Linked DNA regions of Schizosaccharomyces pombe. The protein of the gene in region 3 purifies or fractionates together with the protein of the main gene of each other region. This does not show direct contact. Each region holds a gene or a part of one and is shown on either strand. Other genes may lie near its edges.

Region 1 (12,724 bases), on a different chromosome or scaffold from region 3:
GTGTTACTGAACCTGAGGGTGAGTTCGAGCTCACTGAGGCTATTGAGGATGGTCCTCGCCCCTTCAAGGTTTTCTTGGATGTTGGTTTGAAGCGTACTTCTACCGGTTCCCGTGTCTTTGGTGCAATGAAGGGTGCTTCTGATGGTGGTTTGTTTATTCCCCACTCTCCCAACCGTTTCCCTGGTTTCGATATTGAAACTGAGGAATTGGATGATGAGACTCTCCGTAAGTATATCTATGGTGGTCATGTTGCTGAATACATGGAGATGCTTATTGATGATGATGAAGAGCGTTATCAAAAGCAATTCTCTGGCTTGATTGCTGATGGTATTGAGAGCGATCAACTTGAGGACATCTATGCCGAGGCTTATGCCAAAATCCGTGAGGATCCTTCTTTCCAGAAGTCTGGTAAGGATGCTGCTGCTTTCAAGGCTGAGTCTCTTAAGTATACTCAAAGGAAGCTTACTGCTGAAGAACGCAAAGAGCGTTTCAACGCCAAGGTTATTGAGGCCGGTCGTGCTTAAAAAGGGTGCTTAATAAAAAATTGACATTGAAGAAAATTTTTATTTTTGGCGTAGCTTTGTTGTATATTCTTGTTTTGTTTTTTTTAGTTATGATTTATAAACGTAAAGTAATAACGGTTTTTTGCTAAAAAACTTCATGAATTTGATATATAGTTAAAAATTGTCTATGCGATTTTGGTGTCCAAACTAAAAGTAAAATATTAACACACATGTATGTTGAAAAAGTTGTATTCAACAGTAATACCTTGGAAACAAAGGCTGCTGGTAATAAAAAGCTCTGAAATTAGAAGTGCGAACAACAAAGTTGAAATATGATATTAAAATGGCATAAATAAATAAATAGATAGTTTTATTACAAAAATTTTTAACTCAAACTAGTGAACTGTCAAAATTATAGTCTACAAAATCCAGAAGTCAAAAAGTATTTTCATAGTAATTGCAAAAGCTAAATATATTTTGAGCACACTGTTGTGCCCTTAAAGAAGGAAACAAGCGACCATCATACCATAATTCAAACAAGCGTTTGGCAGTAGCATACCGCTAAATAAATAAATGCAAAGGAACATTCATGGTATCAATTTTTGCGGCATCACACAATTGATGTGAGAAAGAAAGCTTATATTGTGAGATAAACCTACGGCATAAAAGTTCAAGCAACAGCGAGAGAAGAAATTGGATTCTAAATCATCTGTTCAGAGCAAAATCTGCCACGAATCAGCACAGTCAAAAGTGGAAATTGTTGAGCTTTTTCTTCGGTTTTATTTTCTAAAAAAAAATAAAGCGCCCTGAAAAAAAAAGGACAGATTTACACAAACATGACATTTCAGAGTTTTAGCCGGATAAACGACATTAACTGTGTTACGGAATTTTGGAACAAAAGTAAAGGAATATAGACAATTTTTAAAACATGAAAACCTTTTTTTAATTAAGTACAAAAGTTTATTGAGACTCTGTAGTAGTAGGGTTGGATTCTGGTTGCTCTGAAGCAGCTGACACTTCGGGTTGGGCTTGTTCTGGTTGCTCTTGTGAGACATTTGAGTTCTCTTCCTTAGGAGGCTCTTGCTTACTTTCGTTTTGACCGACTGGTTCAAGATTATTAACTTCCTCGTTACCATTAGAGTTAGGTGCAGATTGTTGTTCAACTTCAGTGCCAGATTTTTCGTTAGACTCAGAGATTTTTGTGTCACCATTATCAACATTCGTTTCAGTTTCATTCTCTACTGGGCTCTTTTGAGGTGCAAAAGAGACTGGTGAAGGTGAACGATGGTTCCGTTTAGGAGAACGACGATCATAATCGGGAGACCGACTACGTCCATCAGGACTACGACTACGCGAACGATAACGAGGGCTCATTGATCTTCTATCAGATCGTTCATCATTATAAGGGGAACGAGATCGGGCTTCGTGCGGACTAGGTGACCTTGAACGTAGCCGTCCAGAATCTCCGTGAACACGACCTCCTCGTTCGCGTCTTCCACCACGTTTGGAGCCAGGGCCTGACGGAGGTGGTTGCTTGGCCCATTCTACACGAAGAACACCGCCACCTCTTTCGAGACGACGTCCGTGCACTTCATAATACGCATCTTCAGCATCACGGGAATCTTCGTACTCAACGAATGCAAAACTATCCAATAAGACGGTTAAAATCTTTACTTAGAAAGCCATTTACTTACGGTCTTGAAGTTCGAGTTCTAGGGATTGGGATGTCGCAACGTATTAAAGGCCCAAAACTAAATGAATAAATTAGCTATTTAAAGTGCATGAAAAACAACTTACGGCTCAAATTCATAAGCAAGCTCACGAGCACGCATTCCATCTCGAAATCCTGTCACATAAAGGGTACGAAGGCTTCTGCGACTCATTTTTTTCTTAAGAAGACGTTTTTTGCTCCAAAATTCGGTGTAAGTGGAAGGAGGAATGGAAATCCAATAGCGAATAGCACGGTGTGGCTAACGAATTTAGTAAAAATCACTCGTGCTCACTAAATTGAAATCCGACGACAAAAAAATTAATAATGACCTGCAGCGCGAAATACAAAAAGTAACTGCTAACACCAATATTAAATCAATAAAAGCATCGTCTTACAAGTACATATACGTTTACGATTAAAAAATTAGAAAGAGAATAATGTTAACCAACTAAGCTATTAGATTTTCATTGTATTCATATCTGGGAACGAACACTATTGATGTACACTAAAGCCGGATCAATAATGCACCGGTAACCTAATTTATGAACGCTAACCAAATGAGAAGCAACTAAGAGCTGATCCCATAAAGTGTGAGAAAAGGAAACGAGCTTGAACAAGGTAATTTAAACCTTGAATGCACGAGACTTTCTGCGACCACGAGCTCTCTCGAACTTACGGCCCTCAGAACGAACATAAGGAGCCTTATGCTTGTGGGGACCAAAGCCAAAGTGACGGTAAGCCTCACGAGCATGCTTCTTACCACGAACAAGAACAGTGTTGCTTCCAGTGGGAGCACGTAGAGCAAGCTGATCGAGGGTTAAAACTTCACCACCAGCTTTCAAAATACGAGCGCGAGCAGATTTAGTAAAACGAAGAGCGGCAATAGAAAGCTTAGGAACAGTCAACATACGCTCATCGTCGGTAACGGTTCCGACAACGACGGTGGTTTTGTTCTGAGAAGAAGCACTCTTACGGCTAGTTAAAGCAGCGATCTTTGAGATAGAAATAGGAGGACGGTTAGTCTTGGATTGAAAAAGACGCTTCAAAATAGCCTTGTTGAAGCGGGAATCTGTACGACGGGCCAAAAAACGGTAAAGCTTAACCAAAAGCTTTAAGTAGACGTTCTCCGAAGCAGGCTTGCTGCGTTGAGACTTTTTAACGTGATGTCTCTCGATATCAATTCCCTAAATCACTCATTAGCTTAATAGAACAAACAGGTATTCATATTATACATACCATTTTGATATAACGCTGCTTGTTCGTTTCAATAATCACTGCTAAAATTGGTAGTAAATTTGTGACTGCCTTTTTGAGCTAGGGTAGGTTTTAGGGAGGTTTATCGAGAGTCACTAGGTACGCCTTATTTGTGTAGCAAACCCATAAACGGAGGTGTATAAATGATTCAATATAAATAAGTATTTGCTAGATTATTTATTTATAATAGTGAGATTTTGGAATAGGGTAGGTGTTACTTTTGCATTTATCGAACACGTTCATTAACTCTCTAAAAATTAATTGTTTTATAAAACTAGATATATGAAAAAGATGCATTTGAATTTTACTGCAAATAATAATTGAATTATATAACCATATTTCATTGAAAATATTATACTTTATGGAACCCTTCAGTATTCATTTATTGTAAACCTTTTCATGCTTTTTGAGTAGACAAAGAAGTATTTTTTTTTTAAGCTGCACGAAAATTGCAAAAATTGATCGGAATACAATTTCTTTTACTATTGGGCGCTTAAAAGATAACAAAAATAAATATAAAGTGCGAACACGAAGACGTTGCAAATACTAGCATATTTCAAATATTAAGCACATAAGTAAATTAATCAATATATTTTTATAATTGATTATTCAAATCTATGTATCTGATAACTCGTAAAATTGGTTAGGTTACTTATTTACCTATTTTTTTTTTTCTAAAAGTATCATTTTAAGACCACGAGTCATCTACAGGATTGATTTTAATTTATTTTAGGCAATAAGGAACATATCTCGATTTAATAGGAAATCTTTGCAGAGATTTCTATCAATTACGAGATTAGGATATTTTTTTGATCGTTTAGATAACATTTTCTATTTAAAGGGATCAGAATGTTGCTAAAACAAATATATTTGCTTCGATGCACAAACACTTTCTAAATTGAACGTAATTATTAATCAATGATAATATTTGATTATTTAAGTTACTTGCATGTTTAGCTCACATTAACTATTTTAACTCTACGAAATTAAGTAATTGTTATGTCCTCTATCAATTTGATTTGAAGCAATTTCATGTTCTTCTTTTGGCATAGATTCAGTCAGCTTAGTAGTTGCAAGTAGATAATTCTCCATACTCTGATTGCTAATTTCTTTAGGTATTTAGCTCTTTTTTAAAATCAATGATATTTACTTAATTACTTTGGAAGGAGAAAACCATTAATATTATCTATTTGTATTATGAGTTGTAACGTGGTTTCGTGGTGTAGTGGTAGCATACTTCGTTTGGGTCGAAGTGGTCACGGGTTCAATCCCCGTCGAAACCCGAACTTTTTAGTTTGTTTTTTTATTTAATTCAGTATAAAAGCAAGTTTTCAACTTTTTATGTTTTCTGCCATTCCTGACTGCGGGTAGTAAACACGCGGCCATTTAGCAAATATTATCACAAATGCCGTAAATACTTTCTGTTCACTATAGTTTGTGCTTATAATAAACCTCTTTAGTTTTCTTTAGCGAATATGGTTAAAGCTGTCCTTTTTGAAACACTTTAACATGCAAGTAGTAATAGGCTATCATTTTTTGGTCATTAAATATTAAATCATTCATAACACTATATTTAAAAAGGAAAAAGTAATTCATTTTCTGTTCACCATAATAAAATATTGTATCACCTTAAACAGCGATAAAGAATCGTAATGCCACTTAGTAAACGGATTTCTACGCTAACTTGCTGGAATCTACTATAGATGATGAGTATCTTCAGTACAGTGCTTAAACTATTATGATGTCAACTGAGGACGTCATACTGTATACGCAAAGTATGTAAATTCTATTAATACATATATACCCACCACAACATACCAATTTAAATCAAATTCGTTAGTGTTTACAACTTTGAAGAAAATTTGACTTTTATCTCTCCTCATATTCACTGAAAAATTTTTTAAGATGTCTGCAAAAGAAGGAAGCTCCCATCCCTCATATGCCGAGATTGTAAGAGAACATGCTCCTGAACAAACAGCAGCAGAAAAAGCCGCACCACAGCCTCCTGAAGTTGAGGAAGTTCTGAGTGAAGAACCCTACCAAAAAAATGAAAAAGTTGTCGTTTTAGATGAGGAAGATGCCGACGCCTTTCTACATCCCGAAGAGGCGGAGGCAAAGAAGGAATCAGAAAAACCATCCGATGGGGAAAAGAAAGGTAAAACTGAGAAATTGGAAAAAGAAGCGAAATCTGTTTACTCCAAAGCTTGCAATTTTGTCAATGCTCATAAAGTTCCAGCTTCTGCTGCCATATCAATCAACCTCCTCAGTCTTGGCGCCATCTCTGCATATCTCTTGAAAAGCCGTCAATCTGGAACCCTTAACAATCGTACTCTTTGCACCTGTACCGCTATTGCTGGCATTGTATTTACAATCAGCGCTGTATTTTCAAAGACTCCCAAAACTGCATGCTGTGCTTCCAAAAAGTCTAATAAATCAACTTAATGTTCGTTAAAATCTGGAATTCATTGTTTGAAAATCTCCAGTATTGTTTATTCCTATCATCTTCTTAAATTAACATATCCCCTCTTGATTTTCTGCACTTCTGCTGCATTTTACAGGTTTGATGAAGAATACCTCTATAGTATATCACAATATTTTATTTAATGTTATGATTTAATTGAACATTACTTGTAATGCTTTTGCAATATTAACTTAGTGAATTTAGTAATTGATTCCGACTATTTGGGCGTTCTGGCATAGCACTGTCATCACACAATTTATTTATTTGTCGCGATTACTTAATTAAACAATGCGTTCAAACAAGTATAATTTACAAAATAAATTCTAAATAAAACCATAATTATTTATTAAATGTAGAAAATGATAACTAAAGAAAAGGGTTTAACCGAGAGTTCTTTTTGCCTAAATATGTAAAAGAACGAATGAAAAGGGAGAAAGGAAAGTAAAAATTGAACGAATGAAGAAATAACTCATGCACTTGAAGATGCTTTTACGTGAAATTAACTCCACAGAAACAGCATAATGGTAAATATGAAAAAAAACATGACTTTAGATAACAAATAACCAAAATATTTTGTTTTCTTTGACGAACGACTCAATGTATTTGAGCTAAAGGAAGCAGACAAAAATGCACACAGTAATATCCTAGTGTGCTAATGAAAAATCTAAATGACATGAAAGGCTTTGGCCTTAAAAAAAATTAACAATTTAGGAATATAACAACCCACGTTTGTGTTCACCTAAACGCATCCCACGTTTCGGAGCAGCTTGAGCCCAGCTGTCTCGTCTCCTTAAACCAGCAGTTGGAGTTGCGATTATAGTAGGCTTAGAGGCCGTACTAGCATAATTAGCATACAACGTATACATGTACGTTGGAGATGCAAAGACAGTCGAGGTGGCAATGGGAGGACCTGCAAACGTGGTAAATACGGAATAAGAGGAAGTTTCCCATAGCGGTTGTATGTCGGTCGTAGCAGCAGTAAAAGTAGAATCTGGTCGATTTTGAATAGGTCCTGTACGGAGAACACCGGTAGTTTGAGATAGATACCAATCTCGCATTGTACCTGTAGGCCATACACCAAGAAAAGTGCTAAAACCAGTAAGGGTAGGAACATAAGGATACACACCAAGAGCCATCAAAGACGCATAAATTTCGTAATTATCAAAAGTTCCTGTTAGACCATTAACAGTGAAAAAGTCAGTATAGTCATTAACTATACCACCAGCATATGTAGATTGTGCCCAAAGAAAGTAAAGACGTCCAGCTGGTCCAAAAACCTGAGAAATAGCGAAGGGTCCAGCTTGGGATATAGAAGAAGGACTAGGGGACGTATACAAGACTGCACAAGGTTGAGGAGCATCCATGCTACCACTACATATATAAAAAACTGTGTTGGTTATGTCCTCAAGAGGTATTCCCGTATTAGATTCTTCCCATGAAAACGAAATAGCGGTAAAATCCATACTATCTGTTGTCGCCGGAGTGACGAATCGAATTTGCGCACATACATAATGTATGTATGAGCAGACTAGCAATACTAGCATCAACATGGTGGTTTTCATTAAATTCGACGGCTTGAAGAGACTTTGCAAATTTAGTGGTAAGCGATATATATAAATCGTTGCTCTGACAACAGGGATGTATATCGAAACACCTTATTTGACATGTGTAAACAAATAATCGAGAAAAGTTGGTTTATTGTAAGCTAATAAAAGTGATTTTTTTATTTTTTTTTATTTTTTATTTCATGCAATAAATTTCGGCTTAACTCAAAAATATATATCACGAACAAGCTGGATATAGTTAACACTGAATATGTTTTAACCTGAAACCTCTAATTCAAATTCTCTTCAGTTTAGCAAGTACTTACAATTGCTCTGTAAATTTATGCCGACTAGTTTAAAGGCCAACATCTTGGGAAAATTATTGTAACGTTTGAGAATCTTTAAGTAAAGATCTATTTAAACGATACTGCTATACATTTGTAATATCAAATGCTAGTCTTGTACCAAAAGAATGAATAACATGCGAACTTACTGAATCTATGTCGTGAATATTATGTCTACTCTATGAAATAATTGCGTTAGAGCTGTCAATATATAGGCCCTTTACTACCAGATATGCTTACTGTCTGGCTGTATTCCTAATTCATTCGCAGAAATAATATATCATTTACAAATATCACAGTGGTTGCTCCAAAAGCATTCTTAATAACTGCTCACGTTTAGATTTGAGATTTGAAATATCAGTAGTGGGTACAGATTACACCACCACAATAATTTACCTTTTTATTATCCCACTTTTCATAATGTTTTTCAATATCAAAGCTTGTGAAATTTAATCGTTAATAAATCTTACAGGTCTAAAATTATTCAAACTTGTTTTATTTTCTTATTGGTATCATTTGCAACCTCATGAGTGACAAAGGAGGAAATTGTCCAAGGCAATACAGAAAATTAGGGACCAAGTTTTTTTTTTAGGACGAAAGAAATTCTAAAAGAAAGGAGATTAACATATTTTTTCGCTTTATTCGTTTTTCATAATTTATTCAACACGCGTTAATTGCTTAAAGTCGTTACAGTCAAAAATAATCATAGCATAAATTTTAAACAAAAATGGAAGAAGAAGAATCTTTAGAAGGAATTATTTCTATAGATGAGTCTTTGATAACCTCACGTTTATCGCAAATTCTCGATGATGTTTTAGACGATAGAAGTTCTTCACATTCTGTGGAAAAACTTAAAGACGTCGCTGTTAAATATGTATGTTTAAAAAGATATTGTGACCTTTCTAATTAAAATTCTAGTTGCAATTTTGTCAATTTCAGCCGACATTGCTCGATAAACTACTGAGTAAATACGTTCCAAACTTGGCTAGCTATTTACTGAAAGTGAAAAATATCGGAAAATGTAACTCAATTACCGTTATCCTTTACCAGTTTTGTAAAATAAGAGGATATAAAGCTGTTCGCGTCCTCTTTCCTGTTGGCGTTCAATATATTAAGGAATTATATACATTATTAAATGAATCATCAAATAATACCTGGCATTTTCACTACATAGTTTTACTGTGGCTTTCTCAAGCACTCAATACCCCATTCCCGTTAAATTCATTAGATGATTCCTTGGATGTGAAGAAGACCATTTACACTATAGCAATTAAATACTTAGAAAATTCGGGAATAGACAAAGAAGCTTCTTGTCTTGTTTTGTCCCGATTATTCTCTCGTGATGACGGTTTGGATTTACTTCTAGGCTTTCTACACCACTGTGAGAGTAGTTGGTTTAAGAGAAGTATCTTTTACAAAATTGGGTGTCTTTTTTCCTTATCTTCTTTTCTTAAAATTTGTCCGAGAAATGATTGTCTTCAAACAGTTGATGTTGCGTTTCAGTTTCTGAATGTAGCACGAGAAGATTTAGTTGGACAAGAAAATTCAGCGTTGAGGAAATTATTATGCAAATGTTATACAAGATTGGGAATTGTATTGCTGCCTGTAAATTCATCCCCTAATTGGAAATACTCGATCAGTAACCCAGATAGTTTCTTTCAATTACCTGATGACTCTAACGAAGAAGTACATATATATCTGGAGGTTATTGTTGATTTTTTATTGTCATCTGTAAGCGACATAGACAGTTTTGTACGCTGGTCTGCAGCCAAAGGGCTAGCCAAGATCATAAGTCGTTTGCCCTGGAATTTGGCTGAGCAAGTTATCGATGCCATTATTGAATTGATGACAGAAAATATGTTTTTAAACCCCATAGAAAACACTGTAAACATATCAATTACTTCTCCACTGGTTTGGCACGGAGCTATACTTTTCTTCGCAAAACTAGCAGGTGCAGGTTTAATTAAGTATAGTAAATGTTTACATATTCTTCCATTGATCGAAGTAGTAAGTACACTTTGTTTTCTTATATCATTCTAATCCTTATTTAGGGCTTATCATACGAAGTAAGATATGGAACTAGAGTAACAGGACAAAGCATCAGAGATGCCTCCTGTTATTTTGTTTGGTCATTTTATCATTGCTACTCTAAGTCAGCAATTGAAGGCTTACAAACGAATCTTATTTTATGTCTCTTACAAACGGTATTGTTTGACAATGAAATAAATGTGCGCAGAGCTGCAACTGCTGCTTTATTTGAGGTGATTGGCAGACACGCTTCTATTCCCGATGGGCTTTCTTTGATATCACATATTAACTATGTTTCTGTAACGGATATTTCAAATTGTTATGGTGACTTGTGTATGAAAGTAGCTCATTTTCCTCAGTTTCGTTCCTGTGTTTTCCAAAGACTATTTACAAACCTTCAGCACTGGGACGTGAAGGTACAGCAGCTTTCTGCTTTTTCCCTAAGACAACTTTCTATTAAATATCCCAAAGAGCTAAGCATCTATCTTCCTCCCATACTTGATTATTTGTCTGTTGGTAATGCAGATTTTATTTTTGGCTATACGATTGGATTGGCAAGTATTATAGGTGGATTTTTATCCATAAGCTTCCCGTTCGATATAAATCGTATCCATGATTTACTGTCGCACAAAAACCTACTGTCCTTAAAAAAATTTTCAAGGCAACAGCAAACAAAAATTATTTTGGGAATTTTAAAAGGAATTCAACAAATTTTTGCCAATGATATTCGTGTTGACAGAGCATTTTTCAGTGAAGCATTTTCTGTTATAATCGCTGCTATTGATTTACAGGAGGAAACAATCATAAAAGACATCAGTGACGCTTACAGTGTACTTGTTAAATTTGATGATATGGAAGAAACATTGGAGGTTCTTCTTGACTATATACGAAAATGCTCAACAAGTAAAGAAGCGAGAATTGTATACATTATTCTACAGAATTTACCGAATATAAGTTTTCGATACCAGAAAAAGATATGCAAGCTTTTATTGGATATTTATCCCCAACTCGTAAGTAAAGAATTTTTTCACCAATGTTAACATGAACAGCACTCAATAGACTATCAAGCACCTGTTGCGAATGCGCTTCAAAATATTATTCCCTTTACTTATGAAAAAACAGAAAGCATTGAAGAATTTGTCAAAGAATTACTTCAGGTTTGCTCCAATTATTTGACAGATACCCGAGGAGATGTTGGCTCATGGATTCGCAAACCTGCAATGAAGGCCATTTCCAGTCTATTAGTCAAAGATTCATCTGGAAAAAAATTAAGTGAAGATATAGTTTGGTGTTGTATTTCCTATATTATAAGGCAAACATTTGATAAAATTGATAGTTTGAGGGGTTTGGCATATCAAGCACTCGAACAAATCAGAGTACATTACCTAATCAGAAGATGCGAAGCTTTGACTAATATTATTAATCGTATTAGGTAAAATGAGTTTTCAATTAAAATTCTGCTATTAACCACTAGTTTCAGGAATAATCCAAATATGGATGGAGAGGTACTAAATGAACTGAATATATCTCTGCTAGAAATACCTAATTTAAGGCTTCAAGCTTTTTACGGAATTACAGTATTTACTGCCGATGGTTTTGGCAGTGACTTAGTAAGTTATCATATGCTTCGATGTCTTAATATACTAACTCTACTAGGCAGTTAAATGTTTTGAATTTTATCTAAGTTATGTTTACCAGTTAGAAGATTCGTTTAAAAAATCTAACTCTCGTTATGGTAAACGGGATCTTCTACAACTCTATATAGACATACTTTCTTCGGAGGATGAAATAGCTCGTTTCTATTTTCCAATCATGAAATCTTTCACATCTTTGTTAGCATATGGTTGTTTCACGGACTTTCAAAACGTTAAGGGGTATGTTTTTTTACATTTTGTTCAAAATACTAATGATATCAGCATGTCAAAAGCGATTTTTATTGTACAGAGAAGGGCTCTTACTTGTAAATCACCAGGGGGACTTTCTGCGATACTAGAGTTATATCGGACGCTTTTTCTTTCCAAAAATGAACTTTTGAGGCATCATGCTTTAAAATATACGGCAAACCTACTATTAAACCCGATTGAAAAAGTACGCTACCAAGCAGCCGACACTTTGCTCTATGCGAAGTCAATTGGTTTGCTAACTTTCCTCCCTAATGAATTAAACCAAAAACTACTGACTTTGGATTGGTTCGTACCAGTATCTCAAAACGCAACTTTTGTTAAACAGCTAAGGAATATAATACAGAAACAAATAGATAAACTGATAGCTGATCGATAATAAATTTTGAACTACTTTCAGCTTTTTAAATAGTCGTGTATATGATGTATAAAAACGTTAAAATCTGCAATCAATAAAATATCTGGTGAATAATCTCAAATTTTTAGCCAAAACAGTTCGTGCTTATGTAGTACTAAATTGATGTCCATAAAAGGAACACAACCAATAAAAATTACATTTGAAAATTGAGAGTTGAATTATTATTACCTTCATTAGAATTGTAATTAAAAAGTAAGAGATTAAAGCATAAAACACAAAAACACCATCGTGATAAAAAAATGTATTCATGAGCCGTGAATATAGTAGACAGCACAATACGATGAATAGAATTTACAGTTCCGAACGAGATAGGTCATCCAATTCCTTTTGGTAGTCCATCTTCAAATCCTCCAAACTGTCTTGAACGTGTAGCTTGAAATGTATTATTTCACCAAGCACAAATGCAACCTCTTTATATATATTGTTTTTGTACTCCATGCAAGCATGTGCAATTTGATCCGCTTCGATATTTATACTTTGTATACGCTGGTCTAATTGAAGCATGCTGTTATGCGAAGAAAGTTTGAGCTGTTGTAATTCTCTTTCTAACTTATCCGATT
Region 2 (9,825 bases), 140 kb from region 3:
TTGAAAAACATATCCAAAAAGTATGATTTAACCTTGATTGAAACATATGTGCTAACTCTTATTTACAGTGCCCACCTAACTGTAAACTTCCAGCGCTTTACCTTTTAGATTCTATTTCTAAGAATTTAGGAGCTCCTTATACTTATTTTTTTGGCCTTCATCTTTTTTCGACATTTATGAGTGCATACACCGTAGTAGAACCCCGTCTGCGCTTAAAACTGGATCAATTATTAGCTACTTGGAAACAACGTCCACCGAATTCAAGTTCTTTGGAGCCCGTATTTTCCCCCATAGTTACAGCAAAAATTGAAAACGCATTACTAAAATACAAATCAACAATTTTGAGACATCAGAGCCCTTTACTTGCTAATACTTCAATTTCATCATTTTCTGCTCCTATTGACGCTAATATTAACTCCTACTCCTCATTTTCCGATCCGGCATCTTCGTACAAACCGTCTTTACCTTCTGTTCCATTTGGCTTTCAGCATATTTCGGGCACCAGTCCTTCTCCTGGATTTATTACACTGGACTCTCTTTTATCTGATGTTAACCGAATGATTGTTACAGAACAAGCTAGATTTATTAAAAATCCTTATGACAACATGGCTAAAAAGCGGTTTGAAATACTATTACAACTCAAAAATGTGCTGTCTTCTTCCGCACTACCTTATGACCAATTGCTGGCTATAAAAAACCAGCTGGCACAATTAGAGAAGCCGGCTTCTCCTTCAACGAGTTCTGTTGCTACGTCTGCTCCCTCCGTGCCTTCTGCATTATCATCTATTTCTTCGACTCCTTTTATGAAACCTTCTATTCCATCTACCATTCCTACAATTCCTTCTGCGTATTCGGCTTCTGTATCTTCGCAACCTCCACTCACTCATTCATATGTCCATCCAGGTCCTCAAAGTCACAAGTATTCGTTATCTTCAGGGCCGCCGGCATCCTTATACAACGCGAACGCGTTAACGCCTGAAGAATCGTCTAGTATAGATTCTCTTTTTGCTAATCTGCAAGCTGCAGGGTTGGTTCCGCCATCTGCTGGTGGTAAGTCTCAAGGTCCACAAGCTTCTTGTACTGAAGCTGTGTCTCTAACAGCAGACATTGACCTTTCTAAATCTTCGCTCGCTACTCCTCGGCCCAAGCTATCTTCTTTGTTATATGAGAATTATTCTAACCAATGCGCAAACTGTGGTAGGCGTTATGGAAATGATCCTGAAAGTAGAAAGGAGTTGGACAAACATTCAGATTGGCATTTTCGGATCAATAAGAGAATTCGTGAAAGTAGCCTTCATGGGATTAATCGCTGTTGGTTTGTGATGGAGGAAGAATGGGTCAATAGCAAAGAAGAGGAAGATTTAATTACAGAGACTGCTCAGGAAATCGAAGAACAGCGTCAAAAGCAAATGGAATCCGTTAGGTCACAATATGTATTGACACCCTTAGATCCAATTGCTGCGTCCGAGCCTTGTCCAATATGTCAAGAAAAATTCCAAAGTGTTTGGCATGAGGAAGCTGAAGTTTGGGTCTTTATGAATGCAGTCGAAGAGGAAGGCCGTATATTTCATGCGACTTGTTTGCAAGAAGTACGCCCGTCAGAAAACAAACATTCAAACACAAATACTAGTACACAAAATTTAGCGGAAGCAGCTGTTTCGTCTAATATTAAAAATGCTACGGGTGACGCTTCGAAGGACTCTCAACCTGATGTTCAAAATTTGTTACAAGGCATTGATATTCAAAGTATCCTTCAAGCACTTGGTAAACGCAAAGAGAGAGACGATTCAATGGATTCAATGTCTTCTAAAGTTATTAAACAAGAAAGCAAGTGAGTTTTGTTTTAACCTCATTTTTCTCGAGCTTTCGGATTTTAGCAATAAATTTGAATCATGTACATACAAAAAATATTTCTATATAATCAGCTAAAATATGAGTTTTACATACTGCTTATAGTAGTATAGCAAACTAAACAGTTTACCGAAAACTTTTGGGTTCAGAATATTCTATATTTATATCCTACGAACACTAGGCAAAAATATCTAAGTAATTGAAAAAGAAAGGGGCCCTTCAGCTCTAACCTAAAAAAAATACTTACTCAGCCTTCTCAAGAATAGCAACGATCTGCTCCCAAACTTGCTCAGGTTTTTGAGCAGCATCAACAGCAGCCCATTTACCCTTCTTTTTGTAAAACTCAACGACAGGAGTAGTTTGTTCGTGATAAGTGACCAAACGCTTGCGCAAAGCATCGGCGTTATCATCGGAACGTTGGATAAGAGGCTCGCCAGTAACATCGTCTTTCATAGGAACTTTAGGAGGATTAAATTCCAAGTGGTAGCTACGGCCAGATCCGGGATGGACGAGACGACCAGTGATACGTCTGACCAAAAGTTCATCATCAACTTGTAACTCAAGGACAGTATTCAAGTCAAGTTTGAGTTCATCAAGAAGAGCGGTAAGCTTTTCAGCTTGGACGACAGTACGGGGGAAACCGTCCAGGATGAAGCCGTTCTTGCACTCAGGATTGTTGAGGATCTCATCCTTGATCATACCAGTGACAATGTCATCGCTGACAAGACCACCCTGATCCATGATCTTCTTAGCTTCTTTACCGAGCTCAGTTTGACGAGCTACTTGAGAGCGCAACATGTCACCAGTAGCAAGATGGGCGATGCCATATTTCTTCTGAATGTTGGGGGCCTGAGTGCCTTTTCCAGCACCTGGAGGTCCAACTAAAATAAGTCTCATGCCAGCCATATTTGATCAAATTGGGTATCTATGCAAAAAAAAAACGAGATTCCACAACAAAGCGGTATTTGGTAGTAGTCTAAAATCGGACTGAGAAGTAAAAGAAGACCACCTAATTTTTATAATAGCGAACTTTAACAAGTCGTTATATTATTGTTGGTGCTAAACCAAACTCAATAAACAGAGCAGAAGCCTGGGGTAAATAGAACAATAAATTTATATTATTTTTATCTATAACCAAATGCTAATAAAGGTTTTCTACGTAGCTCCAAAAGCACGAAGCAATGCAATTAATGATTTTAAGCATAAATGTAAATTCGTATCACTCTCACAATTAGTCTTAGGCAAAAGTAGTGACAGAGTATAGTAACTAAACTAAAAATAAAACTCTGATCCAAACCACGAACGAGAAGCCGGATTCGGTTTCTTTTTCTGTGTAAAGTTCAAAGTAGGAGTATCGTCATCTTCGTGCCAATCTATTTCAATCGAAGACTGTGATTTGGAAGGTAATTCTAGTAAATCCTTAGCGGTTTTCCATGAATATCTAACTATGTCTCCCTTCCATCCGAAAATTTTATCGACATTTACTTTTAACCACTCGGTAGTTCGAGCGTCAGAAGAATATCCAGAACCCCAGTTCTCAGTTCGAATACTTTCACGAGCGCATTCCAGTTGAATATCTCTAGTAACTTTAGCACAGATAGAAGCTAAACTCACGATGGGAAAAAGGGAATCTGCTTTTTTAGTGACAGTGACTTTCGCTTGAGGAAAATGAGCTTGTAATTTTTCCTGGTATGATATTGGAGGTCCTACTGTATCCACGTAAATCTCTGTAACATTTATTCCTGATTCATAAACTTTTTTTATTAAGTCAATTGTCGTATCATGTGCTTGAAGATTTAAATTATACTTGTTCCGGTACCTCAGCATTCCTGCAGCTAATTCTCTTGCGGAAATAGACATAGTAGACCATCCAACGTTTTTTCCTAGCTCGTTAGATTTGTTGCAAATTAATTTCAGAAGTTCCTCTCGCTTTAAGGAGGCCAAAGTTTTACTGTCAGCAAACCCATAGTTGGTCAAATCGAAATCGACTGGACAGTAAGCGACAGCATATACCATAGGTCCTAAGACAGGGCCTCTACCAGCTTCATCTACTCCTAATCGATATGGCTGACTCTTGGAAATATCATCAGTGACTGTTGAATGATAGTAATTCGATTTTGCGGGATTCGATTTATTAACTGAAGGTGGTAAAAAAGTTATTGAAGAATTTTGGTCTTCTTGTAGCTCATTTTCTGAAGAGTTATTGTCACTGACTAGTTCTTCTGGTTCCCATGCATCGTGATCATCTTTCATGTTGAGATTGCTGCTTTGTATCTTTTAAAGAATTATCAGAGTACTTCTAATATTTGGCTCAAAAACTGAATAAAAAAATAAATAAAGGGGTTGAAGGAATGCGCAAATAGGCCTAACACAGTTTTCTTTCGTTCGTGGTTTTAATTAGCGGTACTACGGTAAAACGATGTAAATAAAAAAAAAAGAAAAGCCAGACAAACAATTCATTACAGTTATAATGCTTTCTTTGATTGAGTAAAAATATTTTAATTGAGAAATGACTAAACTAAATGATTTACTTTTTAGACTTTCATTTTTTTAGAAAATTGTTCATTATCTTAAGCGAGTCATCTCCTAGCAATCGAAGCCTGCATACAAGATTTAACAAAAAAAAAGGAAATCATTAACATGGAACCTTGTAAAACGAATAACAACATCAAAGACCTTCTAAAATATCTTCTGGAGGGAAGTCTCCTACTTCAACTTCAGAAGATCGAAGAAAGGATCCATGTTTATTTTTCGCATTAAAGTATCTCTTTCCGCTGACTGTCCCATCATTTTTCCCAACTGGTTCATCAAATTCGACGCCAACCCACAGATTGTCATTATTAATTTCAGGCACTAGTCCAATATAGCGAATAGTTCCATATCTCTCTCCTGCTGCACAGCACCTAGAATTTAAATTTTTTTGTAAGTCGACTAATTCACGTTTTAAAGATTCTTGTCGAGAAGCTTTACTTGCTTCAAAGTCTGGATTGAATCGTCCAAGCTGATTTCTTTTTTTCCAGGCATAGACAGAATCTGTCCTGTTCTCATACTGTTCACGAGGCATTACATATTTATCAACCTGTGAAAGATCGTCAAAGTCTAGACGCAAATGAGGAGGGCGTGTATCCTCAACGACTATAGTCCCCAGAGGCTGAAGCTTGAATTCCCCTAGGTCTAAATTCTCTTCTTCGCTAGTGAAAACGTGTCCAGGGACTGTACTGGAAGCAGGTTCATACGTAAGTTTTTGGTATTGTTCTGGTGTCCCTACGATAGGAACTAATTTGGTCTTAAGCTGACTAACAGTCCATTGTGGGTTAATCCTTCGTTCAGCATTTGCAGAGGAAGATTTAATAAAGAGAGTTATCTCATTCATGTAGCAAATAATTTTAACTTAAGATATATGATTAATGAAAACGGAAAACACAAGAATATATAAAGTGGTGGAAGACGTAGTAGTTAAATGCTGACGCCGCCTTGGTCAGTCGTTCACAAATCACATCGAACTTGAACAATTACATAGAACCCTCGTTAACCAACTACATTTCGCATATGATCAATTAAATTTTAAGTCGATAATACTGTTGAACATAAGTGCAATCTTTGCTCAGTATAACCTTTTAATCGGTTGTTAATTGTTCTTCATTTATTAAAATGGCTTCTCAAGATCAAAATACAGGGACAACACATGTCGAATTGCAAGGTGGTGAAAATTCTAAAAAGCTTTTCTCCAAGTATGACCTTTGGTCAAAGGCAATGGATGAGAAGAAGCTGTCTTCCTCACTTTTCACAGTAAATGATACCCAAGAATTTCTTGAGCTTTGTGAAGCTTGTCGGCGTGGAGATTTGGAAGTTGTCAAGAGGTATGTGCAATTTAAAAATATTGAATCGATAAACAATTTTAACTGCAATTGCTAAATTCAAAATCCAGTTTGGTCGAAAACTATAACACACCTATTAATCAAGTAGACCAATTTGACTACTCGCCTTTAGTCCTTGCGAGTCTTTGCGGGCATGAACCAGGTATGCTATGAATGTTTTGCTCTCAATTATTATATTTTCTCACGCTTAAGTTGTAAAATTTCTTCTTGAAAATGGTGCTTTATGCGAACGAGATACTTTTCAAGGAGAAAGATGTTTGTATGGTGCCCTTAATGATAATATTCGCCGTATGCTTCTTTCTTATGATATTACTAAAGCCATTGATGAGTCCCAACCTTATGCTAGTCACATAACTTCCTTGTTGTCGAACTCGGCTTTACATTTTACTACTGACATAGTCTTTGCCGGTCAATATGGTAGGGTTTTTGCTCATAAATTCTATTTAGCTGCCAGAAGTTCATATTTTAAATCAAAATTTTCGAAATTGGGACCCAGTGAACATGAAATTGAAGTCAAACATTTTGCTAAAGAGTTTGAATCAATTTTGCGATATCTCTACTTAGACACAAATGCTGTTTTCACCAAACAGTATAACAATGCTCTTCTGAGTATTGGAAAAAAATTCCAGTTAAACGATTTTATCGCATTGTATGAAAAAGATCGCGAGCAGTTACACTCTAGAGATTGGAAGAAAATCCAGTTGGCAAAAACTCAAAATGATCTAGGAGAATTTTTGGATTATATAATCTCTAACTACAAAGTACCCATTGAATCTCTTAACCAACCTTCCGATCAGTATTCGTTTCACGATGCTTACTTGCAATCTTATACACACCGCTATCCCGTCCATCGTGCCATCATGTGCAGATGTGAATATTTTTTGGACATGTTAGCAGGACCATTTTTGGAAAGCAATCAAGAACTACCGGTTTTGTCTTTACCTTTTTCAAGTTCTGTTGTTGAAATTGTATTGAAGTTTTTATATACCGACAAAACTGATATAGCGCCGGAATTAGCTTTAGATGTAGTTTACGTTGCAGACATGTTGTCGTTAGATAAAGATAGAAGCTTGAAATCTTTAGCTTCTATAGTTATTACTAAACAAGAAGAGCCTATAGATAGTATTTACGATATTCTACGAACAGCTTGGGATACGTCTACGCCTCGCCTGGAGCAATACGCTTCCGAATATATGGCAAATCATTTGGAGCACTTGATTGACGATCCTGAATTCTGTGAATTAGTCAAAGAAAGTGCTGATCGAATTTTACAGAGACAAGAAACAGACACGATCGAACTCATTGATGATATTCGTTATTTCCTCTCAAAACGTTTTGGCATTTACCATGAGGATTTGTGCATTGATGGAGTTGTAGATACATTAACACCTTATGAAAGCGAATATAATCAAAAAATGGAGATGATTGACGATTTACTAGATAAACTGGAGCTACAAGCTTAATGGCAATGGTAGAAAAAATAATATTTCTTGAACACTTCAACTGTTTAAATTAATCATTATTAAAATTCAAATTCATAGAAAAGGCTTTATCTCAGTTTGCGCATTGCAAAATAAAGTAACGGGATACTTTTAGTACCATCACCGTTTTTTTTGTGTTACTGGTAGCTGTAATTTGTTTTAGTTGTTGCTTTAAATGATAAAGAATAATGAAATCCTTAATTTTGAACCATGGCAATAAACAAAGGAATGGAAATTATTTTCAATCTCTAATTTCGAAATTAACATCCCTATAACCCATCGTTTTAGTTTTACCATTTGCTAACCTTACCCAACCTTCGAGACGTATTTTAATCGGCTTCAAAGGCTACAAATTTTTACTTATTTATATTAAAATGGAAATAGAGTACGAAAATGAATATGTTCATCAAGTATATGATAAGATTGCAACACATTTCTCAGATACTCGATACAAGGTAAGTTAATACAACGATATTTAATTAAAGCTAATCAGTCATTTTGTAGCCATGGCCAGTGGTTGAAAAATTTTTAAAATCTTTGCCTTTGGGCTCTGTAGGAGTAGACATTGGGTGCGGAAATGGCAAATACCAAAAGGTTAACCCAAATGTTTACATGATAGGAAGCGATCGTTGCGTAAAACTTGTTAAAATAGCAAGCAATCTAGGTCCTATGGTTATTTCTGATGGCCTGCACGTACCTCATCCAAGCAATCGGTTTGATTTTGCCTTAAGCATAGCTGTAATCCATCATTTCAGCAATGAAAACCGAAGGTTGCAAGCTGTTCAGGAAGTTTTAAGACCATTAGTAAAAGGAGGGAAAGCACTATTTTTTGTTTGGGCTTTAGAACAAAAGAATTCAAGGCGTGGTTTTTCAGAAGACGGACCGCAGGACGTTTATGTTCCTTGGATATTAAAAAGGCAATATGAGTATCCAAATGCAAAGCCGGAGGAATTAAAGGGGCACGATCCTGCTGAAAATATTGCGTATCAACGTTACTACCATTTATTTCGCAAGGGTGAATTAAATGAGTTAGTAGAGACCGCAGGCGGCTCAATATTGGAACATGGCTACGACCGTGATAACTGGTGGGTAATTGCTGAAAAAAACTAAGTTTTGGAATGAAAATTGATCGTCATATCACCTTGATAGAACAGATTTTTCATCTTTCTTGAACTTGTTCTCAAAAAGTTGGAATATTTCTATTTTACCTTAATTACATAGTTTAAACTATTTTCGTTCGGAAAATGATTTTACAGATTTTTTTTTTTAATCTAACTGGTAGAAGAATTTCTGTGTTTTATGTCTCGATTATTAATTTACTGCGTTTAATTATAAAATGAAGCGATGAACTAGTCATTCCCAAGGGCGAAAAGCGGTCAAATGTACTTGTTTTCAAAAAAAAAATTGACGGTTTCTTAGTATGACAATAGTGATAATTTGATATCGATTGAAGTGGTTTTCTGTTAAATGATACTATACATCTGTGAATGGGTTGGAAATTAAAATGTTAATCTAATTTTTGTTAATAGTTTATTCACGTAGGTTAGTGAAATGACGGTTCAAAGGTTGCATAAGTATTGGAAATCGATGAAGTATGTCAAGCAAAAACATTTTGTAAAATGAATAAATTTCAAAAAAAAAATATTTTTTTTTAGAATAATTTGGAATAATCATGCATTTCTGTATATGTTAAACTTTTAATATAAATCTGTGCTTGAGTATGAAATGAATTATCTAAAAAACAGTGTTTGAATAAACGTGTCCCAATAATAATGATAAATTGTAAAAAATATGTAGGAATTATACAAAATTTATTAAGCCACAAATAGGAATAGTAATTAACGTACAAAATTTGATTTGAATTTAATAATTTAAATGCGACTAAGTTACTTGCTTTTCTATTTACCAAAACGAATTCCAAAGAGAAAAAAATAAGCAATTAATAGTTTGGCAAAACACTTACTGCATGAATTAAATTAATAATCCGACATGCATTAATAAATTCTTGGTTGCTAAATTCAAATAAAGAAGTAATCAGCAGTTCTTTGCTCCTTAGTCGAATGATTACTTTTTTTCTATTCCATTCACCTTCTATTTCGTATTTGTTATATTCATAAAGTCTAGGAAAAATATAAAAAGATTTCCAAGATCCTAATTATCTATTTAAAATTATTATGTTGATATATCGTCGCGTAATATAATTAAATCTTTTTTTATCGAAACCTCAACAAGCTTTGGTGGTTTAGTGGTATAATGAATCGTTGCCATCGATTCGACCCGGGTTCGATTCCCGGCCAAAGCATTATTTTTTACCAAAACAATTTTTGGATTTATTTTGATTTGTTTGAATTCAAGCACGTGGTACTCTGGATACCTAAAATATGTACAACTATAGATTCCAGTAATATATATATTGCAAATGACTGAACTCAATTCTTCAGGCGCTATACTGTGAATGCAATGTTTCTACGATTTTTTGCCATGAAAAATAACGATGCTTATTTACCACGATTCAAAGTAACTAAGCGTTTGGTTATATTCGCTTGGAATACCAATCTACATTACAATGAGGAGGCAATAATTGCTATGATATAAAGCTATTGTCAGAACCAAAA
Region 3 (11,224 bases):
TAGATGATAAAAATGAATTAGACTATTTAATAAACTTTGTTATCGCCAAGATATGAAAATAAAAATTAATTATATCTAATAATTAAGAAATATCAGTAATATAAGATTATGTAAAGAAGTTCAATAACATTATATGCCAGAAATTATTAAAGTTTTATAATGTATATTCCCAACTGGTTTCTACACGATTCAGTAACCGCTTTTACCGTTAACTTTGATGAGAGTAGTCAGCTTTACGGTGAGAAGCTTTAGAGAAGCTAGGCACCGTTAGCCAGGCGTATATTAGTGCTGTTTTGAACTACTCTGCTTGGTACGCTAGTAAAATTCATCTGTTCTGTAATTTAAACTTCTGTCGTATAGACATTATATTAGATATTTACCAACTATATTAGCAAAGTGCTTTAACAACTATTTTGCCAACAACGGTTGCTCTAAATTCATAATTAACTTCAAAATGATTAATCAATGAATGATTTCAAATTTATGACCCAACTATGAGTGCAATTACACCAGATGCTATTCAAGTTCATTCTATTGAAAATATTCCTTTACTTAGATGTAAACGAATTGCAAAAATGCAATTGGAAGTGCGATAAAAAATATGGAATGCGTGTGCAAATAATATAAAGTAGCAATTGTTGCAGATTCTGTTGTAATTTATAGCACCATTATGAACATTGGTGTCGTGAAGTTAAGTGTCGCAATGAAATTTGTGTTACCTTTGGGAATGCCGTAATGAAGTGAAAAATTAGGGCGGCATCACGCTGATTTCACGCACAACTTTTAGGGTAGGGTAGTTGGTGGAATCAGAACTAGAGGCTAAGAATTCCGCTTTCAAGCAGTTGAGTACTTAACCACAGCCAAGTAATTCGTCTTTGCGAATGTTAGGATGGCGCTAACGAATGGGCGAATTGAAGAGTATGATATACAGAATGGGTATCAAAATACTGAAGAAATTAAAAAGTTACCAGCGGAATTGAATTTTCCCGTTGATTTTGACAAAATGCCAACATTCATCTTTCAAGAAGAAAGACAGAAATTGGATTTGCCTTTATCTGACAGTGAGGAAAATCAATTTCATGATTTTTCTGATTCAAAATTATCCCTGGGATTTGAAATCGGTAGATCGAAAGAGAAATTTGTCGATGAAAAACCATTTTATTCAAATAAGGAGCCTCTGAAAATTAATTCTTGGAAAAAGTCTTCCTCACATCCCAAGTCGAAAGAGGTATCCAATGGACTTTTAAAAGTTTCTACTCCCCCTACAGAGTTTGTAAAACGAGAAAACGCAGGAATTAGACGACGTTCGTCTAATCAAGGATCGTTTGCGTTAGAGGCACCGAAAATTTTAAAAAGAGATGCAATGTTTAAAGAGAGTTGGAAAAATAAATGTTTTATTTCTCCACAAAAGGATAATCAAGGTTTTTCGAAAAGCAAGCACCTCTCAACGTACGAAGGTGAAACTGAAAATGGCTTTTCGACATCTACGGAAGAAGAAGAGGAAGAAGAAGAAGATATAGTTAGCGCTTCCTGGGTTGATAATTTGGACATGGACATGGCTTCTTTTAATAGCCATCGTGAACGTTTTCTTACCGAACATGTAAATATGGATGAGCGATCAGATGATGATTTCTTACTGGGGCTTATTAGTTCAGATTCTAGCGTTGACGATCATGACAATGAACAAGATGATGTTGACTTGATTGGATGGGAATGCTTCTTTGATGATTCTTCGGACGAACTCAACACTTTATCTCACCAAGCAGATGATGAAGGGGATACAACTGATGAAGAAACACCAGAATTACAAAACAATAAGTTATTAAATCTATCTACTCCTAAAAAATCTTTCGGTCAAACACCCCGAATCAAAACAGAATTATCGGAATCACCTAACTCACAACGTACTCTACTTTCAGCTGTCCCTACTCCGCTTGAGCTATCAGCTGAACTCGCCTATAAAGAAGATCTTACTTCTTTGGCTTCTCGTGCAAATATTTCCGATAATAGTACTGGTTTGACCCCAACACTAGCTAAAGCTACCTTAGCTCAACCAGTTTCTACAGTTGTCTCTGTAGCATCTTTTGAATTAGATCCAAGATTAAATATAACCCAACCAAAGCCGCCTGTAATGGGTACCTGGGCTAAGGAACCGAATCATTTGATTGGTATTATTGATGGTAAACACTCTCATTCCCTTCACCATGATAAGTTTGATGCATGTACAAAGGGTGAAAACACTGCTAACAACGGTTATGGGCCTCAAACTCTGAATGAAACTTCAGAAGAGCCATCCCTAGATGATATTCTTGATACATCTCTTCTGCAACCTTCTACACAAACTGATCTTCAAGAAGAAAATTCAGTTTCCTTTGCACAAGAAGATAATTCATTGAGTCGCTGGGAAAAAATTCCTATTGGGACGTTTCGAAAAAATCAGTACATAAAATCTATGGCACGTCGCGATGAGTTAATTCGAGATGAATGGTTTACCTTAGCTATCAAAACACGTGAAAAACGCCGACACAAAATTAATGCTACTGGTATGACTACCACAAATTCCGTTCCTTTACGACCAAAATCACGTAAGGCTCGTCGTGCTCTCAAAAAGAAAGCACGTAAAATGACTTTTCGTCAGATGCATTCTGATTTTCAAAGTGCGCTTGAAGACGAACACAATGATGGCTCTTACCTTGATAATGATTATGAAACAGTAGGGTTGGGCTTAGGCCCAGAATTATCTCCCCTATTTGAAATCTTAGAATCTTCTGGCTATTAAAATTTTTGTCTCCTTTCTAATTTATTTTATAAGTGTATTTGGTGTGCTGAATTATTTTCCAATACTACGATATTGGTTTCTTATTTTTTCGTTTATCAACCTTAATATATTTGGACTTTGTGTCTTTTCCTGTATTGAAGAATAAATCTATATGACATGGTTGATCACTTTGCTTTCATTTGGTCTTTGAACTTGCTTTGTTGCAACTATGTAATCAAGGATTCCCTATTATCACCAGTTCCCTGATCTTAGTTGACCGTGGTGGATTAGTTTGTCACACTTGACGTGTATTTTTTTTTTCTATTGGTTCAAGGTTTTGGCTTTGGTTTTCTTTGTTTCTTAATAATTTTATAATTGTGTCGAACCGATTAAATAACTTAGAGGCACTTTTCATATATGGTATATACATGGAATTAGTATATTTAAAGAGTTATTGAATATTAAATATAAAAAACTTCTAATGACTAATCGCGTAAACTATAATACTAGAAAAGAGTTCGCTAAAAAGATTTTTCTGTATTTTAAAAGAAGCCGTAAAACTAGAGCATCGATTTTGGTCCTTCAAGTAATAACTTGGCTTTAGACGTTTCCACTTTCCTTTGCATATACATCGATAAAAGTACAAGTAAAAGGGAGTTCAAAGAGACGCTTTTGGTCGTCTCTGACAGTCTTTGGAGAGAAGCTTACATCTCGTTCGCTTGAAGCAAAGACAAAAGTAGACGTATGTACTGGAATTGCGAAGTGGTATGAAATTAAAGCTTTTATATCTAACAGTTTCCAATTATAATGGAGCTTTAATAACATTGTCGCACCTGAGTTAATTGACGATATTTTGATGCCCTTTGTTATGCGATTTTTAAGAATGCCAGACGTCCAGTCATTGATTGAAGCTTCCAAATGGAATTGAATGCTTGGCAACTCGTGAGATTTCCATATTTCCTCCCAGAATGGCTCTATTTTCGTAAGCTCTTCAACATCCTTAATTTCATTATCAATCACAAGCTTCCGGATGCATGAAGTGTAGTACAACTCAGCATCCAAACGCTCATTAGGTGATATATTCACATCATTCAATTTTACAAGAGAAGGAATTCGCGCAATCACCAGCAGTTTAGCTATATCAGTAGGTTTATTAAAATAAGAAAGTGTTATACGCAGGTGCTTTAAGTTTTCTAATGTACGAAGATGATCCAGAGAACGAATATCCCTAATGTTGTTTTCTGATATGTCAAGGAATGTCAATTTGTGTAAAGTGTGTACAGGTAGTTCTGCAACATCAGCGAGGGAGGTAGAAGATAAATTCAAATTGTTAATTCTTTAGATTAGAAACCTAATTCGTATTTCTCAAATATACTTACCCTTGGAACACATCAACTGCATAGCCATCAGCACTATAAAGATTGAGATTATTTGCAAGACTTAACGTTTGAAGGAACTGCAGATTTTTAAAAGATGTTGCTTTTGATAAAATTATTTCATTTGCTTCAAGGTAAAGTACTTCCAAACTGGGAAAAGTCTCTGTAATCCATTGAACATCTTTACTGTTTAGGCCACATCCATTCACTGAAAGTTGTGTTAAATGAGGAATTAAAAGAACGGTATTTGAGCTAATAAAATTTGAAAATAAGTTTGAACTGAAAGAGTTAGAATATACGTGTAGAGATAAACAAAAACACATGCTCTAGAGTTAAATTTCTTAATGAAGGAAGCTGGGAACACAATTTAAGGATTGGAAAAAATTCATGAAACAAATTTCTCGATAAATCTAAGTCGATAACTTCTACAAATTCCGTTAACATTTAGTTGAAAATAAGTGACATACCAGGTAGTATTTTAGAATACTCGTACTCTATTTCAATATCTTCAATCCTATAATTGTCTAGAATAATAACGCGCAAGCTTTTTAAATCTCTTTGCTTGCTTTGGATTTTTTCGAAACCACAGAATTCTACCTGTTTTCCACTTTTAAATTCAACAGAGGAAGGTAGGGGACTTGAATATGAATATTTTTCGTAAAGTGCTTCCAAAAATGTTCTGCATGGATCAAAAGGGAATCCTTTGTCTACAAATATTTTTCCTTCTTTTACAATTCTAATAGTTTAGTTTCTTGTCGTCAATAACAATCTTACAATGGTTTTTTGTTTCTCCAACACGTTTTAACAAACTGTTTTGCATTTACGTTTTTATCAAGTATGACTTGGTATCGATCATTGTTTCCTTCGATGGTTAATGTTACTAAAGTATTAGATATAGAAGCCCTAACCATTCCAGTGGATATATGCATTATTAATCAACGTGGGAAAGAAAATGGATTGCTATAAAAATTTGGGCAGTTTAAGTTTTTTGTTTCTTTCAAATTTTGTCTTTTATCTACAACAAAAAGTTTTAACCGCACTTTTTCTTTGCGACATAGAAGTGTTCAGTACGTAGTGATAATATAGATGGCATCAGATTTGTTAGGAAAATAGTTGGAAATACTGCTTATTATTATACGGGTTTTGATTCTAATGTCGATCTCATTTTTAAATGTGCTGCTTTATTAAGTCTCTCAATGTTAATGTAAATAATCTATTGTTGGCTGCATACCTCGTAAAGTACAACTTGATACCAATGAATATATTAATTATCAAACAATGCGTTTAAATGTATCAAGCACCAAGCACGATGTAGATTGGAAGCAGCACTATCGAGAATTATCACTTTTTTAAATGAACTGTACATAAAGGAAATGTTGCTTTTTGGGGGCGAGAACTCCATCCTGGGAGAATTCGCAATTGTTGATCTGCAACCCATTTGAGACTTCTAAAATTTACCTCGTGAATGGCAAAAAATTCGATCTCTCGGAGAACTTTGTCATTTGATAACAAAGGAAAAGAAATTATCTTTAAAAAACGAATTGCGAATTCAGTTCCCATTTTTTTGCTCAATATCGAAATCAGAGTTCTGGTCCAGTCGCTGCTATTACGGAAACAATCAACAATGTAATCAAACTGAAGCCCAGATAACCGTATATACTTTAAAGCATAACTTAATTTATTTTTTTTTAAACAATAACAAAAAAATCTGGGCAGGTTTTTTGGCATTATTTCGATTCCTCGTTTTCTGTAAAAGTCTTTTACTTCGAAGGAATTCACACCTTGTAGTAATAATAAATTAATCTTATAACGACTAACTTCGTTTAAATTTTTCTTTTTGTTTATATAATAAATACAGGCATTCAAAAAACCTTGATTCTCTTGCATTTCACCAAACATCTTCAAAAGAGAGAAAATAAAATTTTCCGGAATTTGGCCTTTATGCTCTTCCCAATTTTGATTTATTTCTTGAAAAATTAAACGATCTTTAAAGACGACAACGTAATTAGCGAGTACATTTAGCAGGCTATAGCAATTTAACAAAAAAAGCTGACGAATAGGTAAAACATGCTCCAGTAGTTTTTTGCAATCTTCTTTCTTTCTTAATAAAATAAAACGAGAAAGAAAAATTGCTTGTACGTCAGCCAAATCAGATAAATTGTAGTGATCTCGTATAATATGTAAATATGCGGAATAGACCTCCATAGAGCCTTCTACTATATTGGAAAAATTTTTGAAAAAAGAAACAAAAAACTCAATTTTTACCGGCCATCCCTTATTAAATGAGTGAATGAGCCACATTTTAAGAGAGCAGCTATTTTTAGCCGAAAGGAGAGATATAAAGACTTTATCCAGAAACTGTTCAGATGGAGTTATCCTTTCATTATCAATATGCTCCATAAGCTGAAAAAACGCACGTAAACGTAAAAAAATTTCAGCCTTCTCCATCTTCGAAAAAGCAATAGACGGTGGTAGCATAGAATTAGCTAACATGCAATGGCTCGAATTTCCATGGAAAAGACTGTAATCTCTAATGAGAAGCAAGAAAAGTGTGCGGAAATCATTAAAAGTTTTTGAATTAAGTGAAGAGCGAATATTAGCGCTTTTCAGCAGTTTTTCAACTTTGTGGTACGGTCCATCTTTTCGAAAATATATAGAAGAGAATGAACTGTCATATTTAAACAGATCAATTGTTTGCAAAATTATTTTTAAAGAAGATTTTAAGTCAGTTCTACTCAAATTTACAGTAGATACGCAAATATTCAAGGCAGCTGAAATAATGCTCTCCAGAATTCGCTTTTGCCTTTGCAAATCCGGATCTAAACGAAGCACATTATATACGAAATTTACCAGTACCTTTTTTTCGTCAGAATATTGTGAGAAAAGCAATTTTGAAAAACCATTATCTTTCGGATTTGAATAATTCGTAAACATTAGCAACTGATAATACAAGTTACTATTAACCTCAAAAACTGGGTAAAACGGATGCAGAGCTTTCAGACATTTGTTATATATTTCTGATAACTCACGTTGATATAGCAGGTCATCATCATTATAGTTTTCATAATCTCTCCAGGCCAAGGTAGAGTCTTCAGAATACTTTCTTATTAAAGATTTGAATTGTAAACTTTTTTTTGCAGAGAAAAACCGTCTGCTTAATGAAGTATTGTCTTCAAAGTACGCTTTGCAAGTGCAAAAAGAAATGTATAAGGGTTTCGACTTGACAAGAAAAGCACTTGTATTTGACAAGTTTTTTGACACTTTGCTAAGGGTTTTCAACATAAACGCATCCTAGGTTTAATCCTTTATCAAATTAATCTCCAAAGTATTCTAAGTATAAACCGATCAAAGTATCTCTAAATACAACCAACTTCAATAAAATAAAGTAAATAAAGGTTTTTGGTACGTGTATTTATGTCAATCTTTTGAACAATTTACGCGAAACGTAATAAGATTTCCTGATGTTGGCAGTTGTTGGTGGGAGCCTATTACACGTCGAGAATTTATATACATTTTTGCAATAATAAAATAACTGATGCTTAAAAGATTGTATTTTAATCCATTACTAAATAATTACTCACCATTGAAGCTAAGAAATCCGGACATGAGAAGTACACGATAGTAATCTTTTGTGTGTATGTTGTTTGCCCAATTCCAGGCACTAGTCAAACGTCCATCAATACAACTGCCAGCCTAGAGCTAGTTAGTAATTAAACAGATATATATATAGATAGATAATTTTAACTTACATCAAACCAATTGTCTGCACCAGATCCATCAAATCCGAATCTCATAAAATCGGTTAAAATAGTCTTTTTTAAATATTCTCTGCCTCCAAAAGCTGTATCAATGTAGTTAAGAAGAGAATGGTCATTTAAAGAATCTAACTCCTTGAACAATAGAACCAAGGGTGTTAAAATCCTTGGCACTTGCATATACTTGTCTATAAACAATAAGGCATTTGGAACAGCGGTATCTCCGAGATGGATTGTTGAACTTCCTATCCATGTTTCAGACTGTTCTTGAGCCGTCCGCAAAATCCTTTCCATCGCAATTCTAATGTTGGGACAAGGCTGCATTCTGTGTATTCCTTGATTGTTATCAATTAGCTTATACTCCATATCTGGGTTAGTTAACTCCAGATCACTAAGAGCCCATAATGAAAATATTTCTCCCATAATTAAAAGCCAAAGATGCAAACTTTGCACAACATAATGGTACTGTTTGTAATGACTATGCTTTAGTCTTGAGCCATTAATGGCATCAATAGCAAGAGTAAACTCATCGTCCACGGTATCTGGAGAAAAATATGCTTCTACCAAGCCTATGAGTTTGGCAATTGGATCACGATTATATCTCAAGTAACTGTTACTATCAGCAATAGAGTAGAGACACCATCGTACTTTCTCTTTTGTAATTTTGCTGCTGTAATACTTTTTTGCAATATGTTCAACAGCTCTTTCTTTCGCTTTAATATCTTTTTGAATCGCTGAGCGTGATCTATTTTCAGCGACTATTTCCATAGTAGCAATTTCGGCATAAGGATCTTCTAATGCGTTCAAAGCATCCCTTTCATTCAAAAATTCATAGACAGTCAAAATGGGTTTAAAGAGGTTAAATCCAAGTGCGTCTTGAATTTCTGGTCGCATAGAATCTTGCACAAAGTACATCAATTTCCCATAAGTAGACCCCAGTCGGTTGGGATTTAGCACTTTATAACGTCGACCTATTTCAAAAATCTTTTTAAAAAATTCGGCATGTTGTTCAAAATTTTTATGCTCAAGCAATTCTTGTCCAACTTTATAATCATAAGCAACCATGATACCCGACAAAACTGCAGTAATTCCTTTCAATTGCTGAGCCAGTCTTTTCGCTGGCGACGAAAAGCTTAGGGTATCAACGCTGTCGGTATAATCACTCACATCCAATGCAGCAGTAAGTAAATGAAGAAGCTTTCTTTCTTCATATTCAAGTCTCAAAGGAATCACTTTGGCCCTTTGCAACAACACAGGAGAAGAAAATTTCTTTTCAGGTGATTCATTACCCGTTTTAGATTCATTGGGGAGAATGGATGACAAATACAAATTCCTTAAGGCTTCAGCGTCCATGTCTATGTAAAGAATACGTTCTCATGAATTAATCATACAGGTATAAATTAAAAGGAGGAAGTATTAAAGTGAGGGAATCTTTAAAAAAAAATTTTAATTTAACATGTGTTTTTGCAATGTTGAAATAAAAGCAACTGCACAGCTGTAATTTATTGTTTTTTGATCTATATCGAAGGTTGGGCGTTCACTACTTGTCACTTCAACAGGTACTATTTTCTACCGCTATTTTAGATGCCACCATTCTAAGTATACGGAAAAGGAAATTATATGAGCATTTTTTATTTTTGAAATTTGATAAGCATTAAGGAAAGTATGCATGTAGTAAAGCAATATTTTAGATAAACTAACAAGATAAAGCGTCTTTAGTATTGGATTAAATGTATGCAGCATGTTACTTGTGGTCACATTAAATGTAAGAAATAATGTATACATAAATGAAGTAAATGTATAGAAGAAAGCGTTTCCGGCTTCCAATATCTAATTGTTTAATGAATCAACAGGTAGTTTGCAAAATTGCCTTTACCAAATTGGCTGTATATAATATACGTGATCGATATTGTAGCTGGTTCATATGAACCAATTTATTACTGCGACATGATATTGTATTACCAAATCTGCGTTGATTCAGCTGATTAAGACGTTGTCAAGAAATGTTGAACTTCTCGCAATAAAAACGTTTTTATTTTACTACTTAGGCTTACCTTTATCCCCTTTTGAAATACGTCAAATACATATATGTTTGGAGGAACAGTATCAAACAACTAATGAAAATATTCAATTGAATGATTGTGAACAAAAAGGGAGTGCATAGTTGAGATTTTTTGTTTATTTTACCTCCAAGAAAGCTAATATATAAGGAGAATAAACATTTTGCATCTTATTCGGTCGTGATTAAATACTATCCAAAAACGCATACCTCTCGAAAAAACAGACAGATATATTAGAAAGATAAAGAAAGCTATTATACCGATGAAATTAAATTAATAAAAGTAAACCATGAAAGAACGAAACGAAAAAAAAATAAAATGCAAGAACGTAATAAGAAACCCAAATCTTTAAATATACATAGTCTCAAAACCTCCGTCTTTCTGCAAAAAGTAAAACTCCTGATTCTTGAGAACATGCCTTCCGTAAATCGTCAACATTATTAAGAGGTAATACTTTATTCGCGTTCGTATCTCTGTATGACAAATGTTCACATTCTCCGAGTTTATTAGTCAATCGTTCACAAAAATCTTCAAATGAGATATCAGAGGGAACGCGCAAAGCAAAGGTTTCATCTCCTAATCTGACTTTAACTTTGCATGTCGAACCTGCAGTAGTCGGAGCTGATTCGGGAATAGAGATATTAGTAGCTTTTTCAGGAGCTTTCTCTGGCAAAGAGAAACTTAACGGTTCTCTGGGTAAGGCTTCAGGCATCGTACTAGTTGGATGAGGGGACTCAACGTCTCCGTCAAGCGGTAAGAAGAAAAGTTTGACGAGTTCATTTTCGAGTAAACGAGCTGGAAGCCTGCACATTTCCTTCAGATATACATCTAAATCCATTGCCCTTTGTGAAGATATTAATTCATTAACGTCATCAACTGGACCGGGCATGTAAGGAATAACTCGTCTTTCGTCCCCACGACCAGCTTCATTAGGAAATAACTCTAAAAACTTCGTCTGGAAATTAAAAAAGTCTTCGTAATATCTACAAAGGTTTCGATGTTTTCCATCACTCATAACGGCACGGACCAAATACCAATATTGGTCATCGCGAATCATGTAGTTTTCCACCATTGCAGCAACAACGGTAGGTTCAGAAGACATGTCTTTCTTGTTCTTAGAAGCGATGCTAGCCGTACGCGACTCCAATGTTTGCAGAGGTGTTAATTCGTTAGCGACGGAACCAGGAAAAGTGCTTGAATTGTCAGTAGCAGCTTGATATGTAACATCGTTATTAATTTGTAAATTTTCAGTGCTTGGACTTAAGCTAGGCATAG

The links.
Region 1: the proteins of alp21 (region 3) and alp1 purify together in Schizosaccharomyces pombe (affinity purification with western blotting; 2 studies listed by BioGRID). This does not show direct contact.
Region 2: the proteins of alp21 (region 3) and alp11 purify together in Schizosaccharomyces pombe (affinity purification with western blotting; one study listed by BioGRID). This does not show direct contact.

Annotation. Positions count from the first base shown.
Region 1 is NC_003423.3:3,352,546-3,365,269, reverse strand, and holds alp1 (tubulin-specific chaperone cofactor D Alp1), read left to right. Parts: upstream 1-8,222; 5' UTR 8,223-8,544; coding exon 8,545-8,691; intron 8,692-8,735; coding exon 8,736-9,824; intron 9,825-9,868; coding exon 9,869-10,855; exon of another isoform or gene 10,856-10,894; coding exon 10,895-11,277; intron 11,278-11,325; coding exon 11,326-11,455; intron 11,456-11,501; coding exon 11,502-11,719; exon of another isoform or gene 11,720-11,761; coding exon 11,762-12,125; 3' UTR 12,126-12,224; downstream 12,225-12,724. Other genes in the region: rpl502 (60S ribosomal protein L5), read left to right, coding at 1-524; pre-mRNA-splicing factor srp1, read right to left, coding at 1,464-2,148, 2,198-2,254, 2,301-2,386; rpl1801 (60S ribosomal protein L18), read right to left, coding at 2,838-3,398, 3,451-3,453; SPOM_SPBC11C11.06C (uncharacterized protein), read left to right, coding at 5,374-5,910; knh1 (KRE9-like protein), read right to left, coding at 6,637-7,491; protein Ndc80, read right to left, coding at 12,456-12,724. UniProt on the Schizosaccharomyces pombe protein: Has a function in the folding of beta-tubulin. Microtubule-associated protein that is essential to direct polarized cell growth and to position the nucleus and septum to the center of the cell during mitosis.
Region 2 is NC_003424.3:2,248,867-2,258,691, reverse strand, and holds alp11 (tubulin-specific chaperone cofactor B), read right to left. Parts: upstream 5,310-9,825; 5' UTR 5,225-5,309; coding exon 4,520-5,224; 3' UTR 4,252-4,519; downstream 1-4,251. Other genes in the region: pcf11 (cleavage and polyadenylation specificity factor), read left to right, coding at 1-20, 69-1,835; adenylate kinase Adk1, read right to left, coding at 2,095-2,757; ribonuclease H2 complex subunit Rnh201, read right to left, coding at 3,124-4,104; ubiquitin ligase Btb3, read left to right, coding at 5,503-5,711, 5,780-5,871, 5,922-7,192; tRNA (uridine) methyltransferase trm9, read left to right, coding at 7,585-7,665, 7,715-8,320. UniProt on the Schizosaccharomyces pombe protein: Required for microtubule function and cell polarity. Involved in the proper folding of alpha-tubulin.
Region 3 is NC_003424.3:2,383,925-2,395,148, reverse strand, and holds alp21 (tubulin-specific chaperone cofactor E), read right to left. Parts: upstream 5,214-11,224; 5' UTR 5,064-5,213; coding exon 4,909-5,063; exon of another isoform or gene 4,871-4,908; coding exon 4,602-4,870; exon of another isoform or gene 4,560-4,601; coding exon 4,460-4,559; exon of another isoform or gene 4,414-4,459; coding exon 4,138-4,413; intron 4,095-4,137; coding exon 3,359-4,094; 3' UTR 3,206-3,358; downstream 1-3,205. Other genes in the region: TOR signaling pathway transcriptional corepressor Ifh1, read left to right, coding at 890-2,779; protein Cbp8, read right to left, coding at 5,476-7,416; SPOM_SPAC22H10.08 (uncharacterized protein), read right to left, coding at 7,708-7,827, 7,884-9,242; Cdc42 GTPase complex scaffold subunit Scd2, read right to left, coding at 10,314-11,224.